Regions from separate parts of the Mus musculus genome. Here regions 1, 3 and 4 are each reported to be linked to region 2. The links are microRNA targets in miRTarBase. Many come from high-throughput screens and were not tested one by one. Region 2 holds a microRNA gene; each other region holds the end of a gene's coding sequence.
What was found. The annotated mature microRNA mmu-miR-15a-5p reads UAGCAGCACAUAAUGGUUUGUG and lies in region 2 at 2,169-2,190, opposite strand. An mRNA with a match to its seed (bases 2 to 7 or 8) in the 3' UTR can be bound and repressed. Matches are read on the target gene's strand: a 7mer-m8 pairs with bases 2 to 8, a 7mer-A1 pairs with bases 2 to 7 and ends in A, and an 8mer does both.

Region 1 (3,114 bases), not on the chromosome of region 2:
GCCATTGGCACCATCCTTGTCACATTGGGTGTCTTGCTCTACAACAAGGCCAGGCAGTATCAGCAGGAGACTATGCAGAGTCTGGTCACAGCCACCAGCCGAAACCCAGAAGATGACACAGAGCCCCTTGTTCCCCAGGACTCTAGACAGCACCACTGATCACCTGATGCTGTGTAGATCCAGGCCTAGATGTTCCTTCTGTACTAGAGGGAAATGATGCAGGGCAGGTCTCTCGCTCCTTCCTGGAAATCAGATGGGGAATTTGGGACTCAGCTTCTGCCTGGCAGAGCACCACAGGACCAAATGATCTACAGCTTCCCTGGCTGCAAGTGAACCAGTGTCTCCGTGCCCAGCCTGCACTGTGGAATAAGCACAGGCTCCAGGATCAACCCGAGTTGCTGTCTGTTTGATGCCATCCAGGAGACCTAAACTTTTCTATCACCACCACCACCACCACCACCACCACCATGGAAGCCTCTTGGTTCTTGACAGTCTATGAAACAGACATTCCAGATGCCAATGACTCTAGCATGGAGCCATAAAACCCAGAGTAGCAGGCAGAAGAGACAAGTTTCTCCTGCCACGGAGAGACAGTGCTGTGTGAAGGAGAAGTGTCTCCTCCTTGGCCTGTGCTACATTGAACTACCCTGCTCCAGGGTTGTTGTCCCATGTTTCTGCTACCATTTTGTGATTGCCCATTCTGGGAAGTTGGCAGCAAATCTCTAATTCAAGCAGATGGTCTGGAGTGCTTTTCCATTTTAAGTATGTGAATGTGAAGCGGGCGATTCTGAATGGCACAGTGGCTGCCCTATGAAGATTTCCCTTCAGGATGCTTGATAGGGACGTTCTGACGAGCATTTGAGTGTTTATAGGCTATGCTGTAGTTAAAGGGACACTTCTTTTTGATGTAGCAGGTGCCTGTCGAGGTTTCTCTGTGTCTCCATGTAAGGTACATCAAAGTGTACATGCACAACTAACTCTTCACCAGGGATCATATGATGACTGCCTGAGCCACCAGGTCTCCAGAGCTTAAGGTGGAGTGGAGGACAACAGTGGGCCTTGGGTTAACACGCTGAGGTTCTACATTATTCGGCATTTTGTGAGTTGTGTGTGGGGTGCAGTCTGTTGCTAGCCAGTCTCTAAGACTCCATTACTTACAAGCTGCAGCCACTGGCACTCCTTGTCCAGGTCTCACTGGTCCTCCCTGCTCTAAGTCTTTCGTGCACATGGTGGTTCAAAAAGATAATGGGGTGAAAAAGAGCAATAATTATGTCTACATTTTATTTACTTGAAAAAGCCATCTGCCATGATGATGGATCAAAATGAGGCCTTTTAATCCATAAGCCAACTTTTAAAAGAAGCTGATGTGTGCTGGACATCAGCTAGGTGTATCTTTACTATGCTATGTAAAGATATTGTGAAGATGTTCTCTCATTTGACTTTGCCCAGGTTTCTAGTTCCTTCCTCTTTGCTCTTCTCAAAATAAAGATCCAGTGGAGGACAGATGGCAGACGTTGGATTAATCTGTGTAGACCTGTCTGCTCAAGATCTGGCTGTGGAGCTGCTGACACCGAAGAGCACGTGCTTGTGGGTATTGGTTGGCAGAGCTCTTCTGGCCTTCCCGCAGACCTGTCTAAGTATGCTCAGAGCTCTACATGCCTGGCTTCTTACTATTATTTGGAATTTCTGCCTGTGTCCTATGTTTAATTAGGAAATGACCTATTGTGACTTGCTCTGGCCATCCCTCCCCCATGTCACAAGACTCAGCTTGTTTTGATTTTCTTAAGGTTTGGGCTAGAAACAAAAACAAAGATTTTTCTTAAAGCAATTTTCTCTAAAGCTGCTTTGAGACTTTTCCTCATAGGTGGAAAGATCATGGAATCAGCTGCTTCCTTCAGGTCTTCCAGGACAGGGCTGGGTTGAGAATCGTGGAACGGCCCTGCTTGACCATTTGTTATGACTATACCATAACAATACATTTTTAATTGACTTTGTTAGTACTTTCATAGAATACTATGTTCTTCATGAATTGTTACTGATGTAAATGTACAAATATTGACACCACGTGTCATTCCTTGTCCTGGATAATTCCTCCTGAGTTTATGTCATTGTCTGGTCTGTTGTAAACAGAACACTGGATTGACCTTCTGAGCCAGCTAGCTGCTTACTCACTGCACGCATAGTTAAAAGATATACACATTTCTAATTTCAAAAATAGTTCTAGGAGCTACAGAGATGGCCGAGTGGTTATGTTTCTTGCTGAGGACCCAAGTTCAGTTCCCAGAACTCATGTAGAGTGTTTCACCAACTTCCTATAACTTCAGCATTAGGGATTCTAATGCCTCTGGCTTCTCTGGGCATCTGCACACTGGCTTGTGTATGAACACACACACATATACACACACACATATATCTTAAAAATAAGTACATTTGCTAGGGGAGGTGGTGCAAGCCTTTAATCCCAGCACTTGGGAATCAGAGGCATGTGGATCTCTGAGTTTGAGGGCAGTCTGGACTACAGAACAAGTTCCAGGACAGCCAGGGCAACACAGAGAAAAGCCTGTCTTGAAAAACCAGATAAATAGATAAATAAAATTTAAAAACGTCCATGATTTGGGGTATACCTTAGTGGCACATCACTGGCATGTATTGTGAAGCTCTTGGGTTGATCACCAGCAGCAGATGTGGGACAGAAAGATAAAGGGGAGACAACAAAAATAACCCCAAAACTTCTAATACTAAAAGACAAGGAAACGTTTTTGTTTTTTGGGTTTTTTTGTTTTTTTTTTGTTTGGTTGGTTTTTTTTTTTTTTTTTTGGTTTTTCAAGACAGGGTTTCTCTGTATAGTCCTGGCTGTCCTGGAACTCACTTTGTAGACCAGGCTGGCCTCGAACTCAGAAATCCGCCTGTCTCTGCCTCCCAAGTGCTGGGATTAAAGGCGTGCGCCACCACTGCCCGGCCGGAAAGTATTTTTTTAATTCATTGTTTTGCCTGCATGTGTGTCTTTATGAGGGTGTTGGATCCCCTGAAATTGGAGTTACAGATAATTATGAGCTGCCATGTTGCTCCTGGGAATTGAATTCGGGTCGTCTTGAAGATCAGCCATCTTACCAG
Region 2 (3,116 bases):
TACACAGAAAAAATGCTCCAAAAACGGAGTCTATAGTTAATTAAATCAACTTGTTAAAACTTACTTAATTTTACCTTTAAATTAGAATTGAGTAGTGGTTCTTTTGAGGACAATTCCTTAAAAAATAACTGAAATACTTTTAGGATCTCCACAACACACGGTAGAATTAATTATGAACCTTTAATCTGAAAAGGTAAGAGACTCCTTGTAAAAAGTAATGACAGAGTTAGAGGACATTATTGTGAGATAATGTGTTTTCTTGAACATTTTAAAATAATGACGTAAAACATTTAAAATAAAGCACATGGGATAGTTAAAAGAACATTTCCGGGCTGGTGAGATGGCTCAGTGGGTAAGAGCACCCGACTGCTCTTCCGAAGGTCCGGAGTTCAATTCCCAGCAACCACATGGTGGCTCACAACCATCCGTAACGAGATCTGACTCCCTCTTCTAGAATGTCTGAAGACAGCTACAGTGTACTTACATATAATCAATAAATAAATCTTTAAAAAAAAAAAAAAAAAAAAAGAACATTTCCTTTGAAATAATTAAAATATTCTGAATATATTTATAAAATTAATGACTGTTAGCTTTAATCTGAAGTTAAATATTAAGGCACAGATGAGATGTCTTTCATACTTTTGACTTATAAAAATCTCCTGTTAAACATTTTAGTGAAAAATAAGAAAAACAGTAATTATTAAGTTAGAAGATATAGGATTTATACCCTAATATGTCATAGGTTGCAAATTAAATTTCAGATTGTTTCCTCAGTTAACCAATAAAAAGGTCAGCTATTCTAAGGATTCTTCTAAATTTAAGTTTAAAAATTCAACGTACACATTTTAGTGTTATTCTCCTTCATTTAAAATGAAATATTTAGGCACATTATACTCAAGATTATGTTATAATCTGTAGCATTTCAAACTTTATCTGTATCTAAAGAAAACTTCAAATCAAGAGAAAAGTATTTTTCTATTATAAGTAATAATATGAGTTTAAATTCATGTACAATTTGGTACTTCCTAAACTCTTTCAAATAAACTTTTATATGGAAATGCTGGAAAGAGAGCTCGAGCCTTGGTGGTACTGGGTATATTCTGTACCACTGTAGCTCTCAAGAAACTCTGGAAAGGTGTTCAAGACTTAAAAATACTTGTTATATTATTAGTCAGTGCTCCATCTGTGGATCCAACCAACCACACATTCAAAACATTTGGGTGGCCAGGCATTGGGGCCTACAGTTTTAAACAAAGAATTTGGGAGGCGGAGGCAAGAGGATCTCAGTGAGTTTCATGGCAGCCTGGTCTACATGGTGAGACCCAGGCTCAAAAGACCAAACCAAAAAACTTATTTCTTGGACAAAAACTGCATTAGTACTGAATTGTACAGTTTTTTTCTCATCATTAAGAGAATAACTTGAATAATACAACTATCCATGTTAACATCCCACTGCACTACACATTAAAAACAATGTAGAGATAAGTTTAAATAAGTATAAGGGAGGATATGCACTGGTCACGAGCAGACATTTTATACAGGAGATCCAAGCATTTACAAATCTGGGTATCTAGAAGTCCTATAATCAGTTCCTCACACAGAAGTCATTATGTTTTGTTTGTTTTTAAAAGACAGATCCTTACATAGGTCTTAGACTTGCTTTATGGCCAAGGATGATGTTAAGCCTCTAATTCTCTTTTTTCCACTTCCTCAGATCTAGGATTACAAGTGTACCTGGTATGCAGTGGTAAGGCTAAAACCCATGGCCTTGTGCATGCTAGCAAGAAGCACTTGGCCAACTGAGCTGCATTACCATCCCACAATTATATAGTATTTTAACAGACACAATATGTAGAGCGTTGTTACTAACATCATTACAGAATCATACCAAACATAAAATCACTAATGCAATTAGAAAAACCGTGTAAACACACAAGTAACATCAATACACATTGAATTACAGTTGTAGAGTATTGCCAACCTTACTTCAGCAGCACAGTCAATACTGGAGGTAATTTCAGAATCTTAACGCCAATATTTACGTGCTGCTAAGGCACCGCTGACATTGCTATCATAGGAGCTATGAATAAAAAGACAGGTACTCTCTTCAGAAGATCAGGTCCTTGTATTTTGAGGCAGCACAGTATGGCCTGCACCTTTTCAACATCCACAAACCATTATGTGCTGCTACTTTACTCCAAGGGTTGGTTTTGAAAACTCCTAGCACCTCAATAGTAATTTACAGAAAAGGCTTTTTAGGAAAAAGTAGAACACATAAAATCTATGTTTGAAAAAAATCTAACACTGGTATGTGCATAATTTTATAGGCTTTCAGCAGAATAAAAAGTATTTCCATATCATAAGTTTAATAAAAGCGTACAGAAAACTTAATACAGTGCTGTAATTTATTGTAGTCATGAAACGAGAAAAGCAAGTCATTTTCCCATACCAACTTAAGAACCTCATTTATTAAACTAACAACTTTTGAATGTGCTTAACACATGAAATAGCTACAAAAGTTGGTTTTTACCTTATTAAGAGCAGCACATCTTTCAAAGCCAAATCCATAGGACAAAGCTTCATGTTAAAGGAAACATGTAAGAACAAACATGTAAGAGCTCAGTTTCAAGAAATTTATACTAGCAAAATATTTAGAAGACATACACATGAAACATATTCCCCAAAAATATATAACCCCCAATCTACACATGAACACAAGATTTATCTCAATATTGGAATAGTTATTGTGAGTTCAGTGTCATTTATTATTACCCAGAACATCATCTTAGGATAACAGGTCTATTTGGTTTCCTAAAAGGATATATCAGAAATCCTGTAGCTCAAGCCTAAGTAACCATTTGTGTGTTTCCCAGTTAAAAAGGCTAGTCCTTTAAAGGAGTATCATTTTATACCACAGGACTTTGACTTAGCTGAAACAAAATTTTTACTACGTTAAGTTCCAACTTCATTTTATGTGTGTGTGAATATCTAGGTTTTCTTACACTATTAAGAAGACTCTTTTCTGTTTAGTGGGGGACTTAGCCATCCCTTCACAAAGAACTGTTCTTATTATTCCAGTTCATACCAGATTTTCCATTCAAACTAGATTACTGTGT
Region 3 (3,116 bases), not on the chromosome of region 2:
TGAACCTCCAGGGGTCTATGACTGGCCTCCCTGGGCTCACTGTCCTCTTCCAGTGGGGCCAGGTCTTGCTTGGATGAGCCCTAATCAGTTGTATGAGCCTTTCAATCAGTCTTCCTATGTGCAGGCAACCTGTTGTGTACCTCCTGTGGCAATGCCAGTGTCAGTGCCAGGAAGAACACCTGGAGACTCTGTGTCTCAGCTAGCTCGACCTTCGCACCTACCCCTGCCCATGGGCCCTTGCTATAACCTTCAATCACAGGCCTCCCAGAGTGGGAGGGCCAAGCCTCGGGATGTACTGCTGCCTGTAGATGAGCCCAGTTGCTCTTCCATTTCTGGAGCCAACTCTCAGTCTCAAGCCAAGCCTGTAGGTATCACCCATGGTATCCCTCAGCTGCCCAGGGTGCGGCCTGAACCCTTCCAGCTTCAACCCAATCACTATCGAGCTTCCAACCTTGACCTGTCAAAGGAGAGGGGTGAGCAAGGTGCCTCTCTCTCTACCAGCTACTCCTCTACTGCCATGAATGGAAACCTAGCCAAGTAGTTATCAATTCCAGAATGGAGACCTGAGCATGTGAATTGGGGGTCAAGGGTTGGGCAGAGGGGTAGGGGTGAGTAGTGCTGTTCCACTTGAAAATCTTATTGGCTAAGATAAACTCCTCTGAGTTTTCACTTTGCCCACCTTCCTCTGCCATCTTTGGCCAGGTTCAGCTCAATTATATCTGCCTAGGGAGGCTGCTGCTTCTGTGCTCCAATTTTTGCTTTGGAGTTTCTTGTGACCTATACAGGGCTTGGGATGCATCCTTATTGCAGGCTGAACCCCTCTTCTCTGGTCCCTTGCTGACTAATGAACCACTGATGAGCAGCCAATTTTTTGCACTGACTCTCACCCAGAGATGGGAGGCTTGCTAGCTATTAGCAATATAAAGTTATGGTACATAGCCTTCCTAACCCCATTCCTTTCTAGCACATCAAATGACTATAACCTATTTATCCCAGTTAGTTATGTTTAGAGTGGGTCAAGTAGCATGTGTCTCGCTCCCTGTTGCTGTGGACTTTGGTATCACAACTAGATGATGTCCTTTTAACCTGGCCTGCCATAGTCTAGATTGAAGACAAAAACACTAATCCTCATAAGGGGGTGATTAAATCTGTCCATATTCAAGCAGAATACAAAGATAGATAGCTTATGGAAAATGCTGTGAGGTCTTGAGCTGTGGAATAATAATATATCTATCTTGTTTGTTTCCTAAGCCTGTGGCTGTTGCAGGCATTTTAGAACTTCCCCCTTTTCCTGTCCCTGAAAAATTTCATCTCATCACAATGAATGTAGTATCTTAACTGAGTTAAAGGAAGAGAAGCCACCTAAATTGGGCTTGACTATATAGAGCATTGGGTGTTGTGAGATGCAAAAGAGGAAAACAGACAGGGTGATCCATTTATCTAAACACCAAGAAGGGATCTCAGACTTTGGAACTTGAAGCAACTCAGATTAGGAGGGAAAACTTTTCCCATCCTTTCTCCCAAACCAAAAGTAAATAAATAAATAAACCCTTGGCCGCCCCTTTGTAAAGTGGTTCCAAGCTTGTCTAAGACAGGATGCCAAAGGCATCTCACCTGTTGTAGGCACACTAAAAAGCTTTTATCTTCCAGTTAGCCAAGTTCTTAGCATTTTCAAAGGACCAGGCTTCTTGAGAGGAAAGATTGTAATGTACCCTTGCTCTGCCAAACTACAGGGCTGATTTGCATGGCAGTTGCAGTCCTTTCTGAAATGAACAGCACCCTCTCTTCTCTTGCATCCATGCAGGTTTCTTTTTCTTTTTTCTATATTTTTTTTCTGGACAAGGTCCCACACTGTAGTTCTCTCTAGCCTGGAACTTACCATGTAGACCACGATGGCTTCTAACTAACAGAGATCCACCTGCCTCTGCCTCCAAGCAAGCCCAGCCTAAATGTTGGAAACACTAGGGAAGAGCTTGGTGTCAGGAAAACATTGCAACAGGCTCATCTTGACCAGGTTCAACATTTCCTTAATCATCTATATGAAACAGTTTCTTTAAAATTCTCCATCAGGCCCGGTGTGGAGGTATGTGCCTTTTATCTCAACACTCAGAAGGAAGAGGCAATTGGAGTTATATGAGTGTGAGACCAGCCTGTTCTACATAGTGAGTTCTAGGCCACTAGGGCTACATAGCAAGATAGACCTTGTTTTAAATTTTTTTCTGTATTGGAATATGAAATATTTTGGGGATCGATATGTTGATCAAAGTTAGAACTTTTTAAATCTTCTGCCCATGTCCCTCTTCTCACCTCAAAGCCATCTTCACATCTACTAAGTGAAGATATCAATAGGGCTCTTGCTCAAAATAAGGCAATTTACCTTGAGAACAGATGCTGGTGGCCTTCTGAGTCAAGATTGCTTTGTAGACATACTTTCTTTGCCAGGGCATATATTCATAATATTTTTCACAGTTTCTAAGCTTGGGATTGGCCCTGTGCCTTTCCCCCAAAAGAGCAGATTTGATTGGTAAAATCTAACCCCTTGTAAGTAACTTCATAACTTTGCATGGCACCAGCACTAGAACCACCCCTCAAGGACCTCAGATCAGCTCTCTTGGATGACTTTGGCTACATCACGAAGAAGTGCATCTCTTGTGGATCTGGATAATGAAAGTGAAAAAGGCCTTCCTTACCCCAACCACATCGTCATAAGAGACACATGCCCAGATTTTAACCACTTGGCCTCCTACCAAAGCTGTTCTGGGAAGGTGAGGCTGAACTTAGCCTGGTTGGGTGGCAGGAAGTAAGCACTCAATGCCTTTACAACAGGAAAAGCCACACCTCTTGCCTAGTCAAGGTAGCTTGAGTTGCTGTTTACATGTCGCTGCCATCTACAGCAGGCACTAGAGCTGTCCACAGCCTCCATAGCCCACTGGAGAAGGGCTACCAGCCTGTTTGGAAGAGGAAGAAGGAATCTACCCTCACAGTTCAGGAGGACAGCACAGTGCAATATCTCTGAAGGGACCTGCTATAACTTGGATATATTTTGCTATGCTTTGAAACTTCATACCTTAGAGTAGGACCTGAGGCAAAGTAGAAGTTTGTGGATTGGGTAACAT
Region 4 (3,116 bases), not on the chromosome of region 2:
TCATTCCTGGCTGCCGTGTAGCACTTGCTGTGAGAAGAGAGCACCTTATCGAGCCTCTTCCCTCACCCTCAGTCCTCAGAACCTATCTGCAAGGACTCCGGGGCAGCAGCTTTGTCAGGTAGTCTCCTGCAGGAGCACCTCCCCACATCCTGCTCTTCTCTAGGCAGCTGGTGGTGGTCAGTCACCCAGCCAACCTCATAGGCTTTTGCCTGATTCTGGGGACAGACACTTGAAGCGTGGTCCCGCTGGTGAGGGCCTGGCAGAAGTAGATGGGCTAGAAAGAGCTAGGAAGGAGAAAATAGGTTAGAAGGGCTTGGGAGAGCACTGGGTCAGATGTCATTAATTTGGGTGTGGTTCCTGCAAGGTCACAGAGTAGGGGATGCGATAAAGCAGGAGGTCCAGAGGCAGAAGGGCAGCAGCCTGGCTGCTTGCCCCTTTTCTGTGCCTTCTGCTTAGCGCTCACAGTGGCACCGGGCTCTCTGAAACCTCAACTTCCTGTCTCCCTGCAGGTGGAGCCCCCTGAGCTGCCAGAAGACTTGAAACATTGGATCTCCTACAATGAGACCAGCAGCCAGCTGCTCCGTGCTGAGAGCGGCCTCAGTGACAGAAAGGACCAGTGACTGCCACATCTGCATCCTCCCTGCCCCGCCTGTCAGCCAGTCCGTTCCATGGGAATGGGCTGCCTGGGGTGGGTGCACTCCTAACCAGAATGGCCTCAGACAAGCCTGGCTTCTTTTACCCGCTTGACACTCCCCTGTGCTTGCCTCATTTTTGGGCAGCTGGTGGGGTGGATGTTGTTGTCCTGGCCCGGCTCTGCCTCCTGGGTCCCCATAGCGAGACTGTTCTAGTGTGCCCAGATGCACAGGGTCCTGGAGCACAAGGGCCAGCAGAACCCAAAGTCAGGGCTGCTTGTGGCCAAGCAGGCCAGAGTAGTCATGGGTGTGGCTGGGGCCTGCAGCTTACTCAGGGACAGTGGGCCATCTGGAGGGTCACCTCATAGCAGGGAAGCAAGACCAGAACCAACCCAAGGGCCCCCGAGAACACAGAAGGGCAAGTGGGTGCTGGTCATTGGCTAAGATTCTGGTGATACCCACCACTCTTAAGAGGATATACCCTGTTCTAGGCTGGTCGCCATGACGTCTGGGGCTCCATGACTATGCCTAGCACCTGTCCTGTCAGCTCAGGGAGAGGCCAGCTGCTTGAAGCTAGGAACGGCCTCCTTGCTCCCTCTCTGGGAACCACACCTGGAGCCAGAGCCCAAAGCTTCAGTGATGCCCTGCACCCCCCCCCCCCGCACCCTCCTCACCCCCATCCCCACCCCCACCTCCACCTCCACGCTGCTATGCTTGCCTTAGTGCTGTCAAGGGGAAAGCTGCAACCCGTTTTATTTAAAGAAAGCACAAGATTAAAAGAGTTCTCAAGGCGCGTGTGCCGGGGAGGTTCTCCTTTTCGCAGCCCTGCCACCCCGGCACAGACCGACCAGCTCCCTGGATGTGTCTTCTGGAGGAACATGGATTGACATAGTGTGCCCAGGCTTGTGGGCGCCTCTGCACTTAGGGCTAAGCCTGATGAGTCATGGGATTGAGGCCAAGAGTGAGCAGCTGGCTAGAGCCCCAGCTGGCCTTCCTACCATGGTCCCCCTCCTTGTCCACCCGCCACCTGGAGCCTATGAACCTTGCCACCCAAGTCACGTGCACCTGGCCTGTCTTTTCTGTTGCCTTCCTTAGAGTCCCAGGAGGGCCCTAGGAAAGTGGGGTTCAGGCAACATGGGGCTCTTTGTCCCCTTTGTGGCCAGGGAGACTGAGGTCCCGTGGACTTGGAGCAGATGTTTTATGGGGGTGGGGGAGATCTGTGCTCTACCCAGCACCAGTCCATAGGTCTGAGGGCCTGGGTGGGGGAAGGGGTCAGGGGGTGAGGGCACTCAGATTCGGTCAAGGGTGGAGAAGTTGCACAGTTAGCCAATAGTGTGCAGCTGGGAAGACCTGTCCCATACCTCTGCCCTTCCTACCTCCTACCTAACCCTTGCCCTAAACCATAGGCACATGGGTAGGTACTCAGTGTCTTACTTTCAGGGCCTTTGGAAAAGGGTTTTTCCTTTTCAGGGTTTAGTAGAGCAGCAGGCTAGAAATGGGCAGTATTAAAGGGCCAGGGGTAATCTGGAGGGTGGGGGTCCTTAGGAGGCTTGGGTGGCTCATAGCAGGTGTTGAGTGCTGCCAGACAGTCCCACTGGGACTCCAGATAGAAAGTGGTGGGAGCAAGGTGGAGCTTCTGGGTCTGACTGAGCATCTGCCTCCAGACCTGGAGGAGTACACTGCCTGGACATAGAATTCCCTGCTTAATAATCTAGATGTGTACGTAAGGTCAACCACGGGGCAAGGGCTTTTGCGGTTCTCTGTTGGCACTGGGGACCAGGTAGCTGAGCCTTGCTTATTGCTCTTATGGGCCAGCCCCTCAGGTGCCAAGCCACAGCTCTCCTGCCTCCCCATGGACTCGGGCCAGGCGTGACTGGGTTCTCACTGAGTCCCACCTCTTTGTCTCTGAAGAGGCCGGAGACAGTACCCCAGCTGCTCCACTAGGGGGTGATAGCTGTTTGGTCTCTACAGTGAACCAGTAGCCCTGGCCTCTTGCCTCCAAATCCTGAGTTCAACGAGGCTCTCTGAAATTCACAGTGCAGGGGAATGGCCCCGAGAGGGGACCTTTGAGTATAGAATTGGCCCTAGATGTGGTCCTAGCTGGTGAGGCTTAGAGGGCCAGGTTGGCAGCACAGGGGGTTGTGGGGAAGAGGTGCTTCACACACCTCTCAGGGATCCTGAGGTATCCTGCACCATCCTTGTCACTCCCCCCCTACCCTTGCAGTCTGTTGGGCAACCCGCTAGCAATCCTGATTGCCAGTGGGACTCAGGGCCATGGCCTCCTAACTGGGAGAATCCAGGAAGTGCTCCGTGATACTGCGTTAGTGCCTAGGGCCATTAAGGCCCCACAGCTGCCACACACCTCACAGAGGGAAGAACACTGTGGAAGGGACAGCGGGGAAACTACACTGGGAAAGGGAAACAGTGGCCAAAGGGCAAAGGCTCCTGGGTCCTGAAAAGCTTGAGCTCCCAGCTGGAGAGTCG

Region 1: the mRNA of Slc35e2 is a reported target of mmu-miR-15a-5p. The part of its 3' UTR that is shown has no 7-base or 8-base seed match.
Region 3: the mRNA of Amer1 is a reported target of mmu-miR-15a-5p. Seed matches in the 3' UTR shown: 7mer-m8 at 734-740.
Region 4: miRTarBase lists Them6 as a target of mmu-miR-15a-5p. Seed matches in the 3' UTR shown: 7mer-A1 at 1,337-1,343.

The regions. Positions count from the first base shown.
Region 1 is chr4:155,618,591-155,621,704 of GRCm38, forward strand. It overlaps Slc35e2 (solute carrier family 35, member E2), which reads left to right. Exons shown (of 9, transcript NM_177186.4): 9 at 1-3,114. The coding sequence ends at 159. The region is part of intron 1 of Gm16023 (predicted gene 16023); the gene reads right to left. Among named protein-coding and RNA genes, the nearest start is that of Gm16023, 4.6 kb to the right of the region's middle.
Region 2 is chr14:61,629,907-61,633,022 of GRCm38, forward strand. It overlaps Mir15a (microRNA 15a), which reads right to left and starts at 2,204; the gene lies at 2,121-2,204. It overlaps Dleu2 (deleted in lymphocytic leukemia, 2), which reads right to left. Exons shown (of 7, transcript NR_028264.1): 4 at 2,531-2,577. It overlaps Mir16-1 (microRNA 16-1), which reads right to left and starts at 2,066; the gene lies at 1,974-2,066.
Region 3 is chrX:95,422,537-95,425,652 of GRCm38, reverse strand. It overlaps Amer1 (APC membrane recruitment 1), which reads left to right. Exons shown (of 2, transcript NM_175179.4): 2 at 1-3,116. The coding sequence ends at 541. Among named protein-coding and RNA genes, the nearest start is that of Amer1, 21 kb to the left of the region's middle.
Region 4 is chr15:74,722,951-74,726,066 of GRCm38, forward strand. It overlaps Them6 (thioesterase superfamily member 6), which reads left to right. Exons shown (of 2, transcript NM_198607.1): 2 at 510-1,423. The coding sequence ends at 620. Among named protein-coding and RNA genes, the nearest start is that of Them6, 3.3 kb to the left of the region's middle.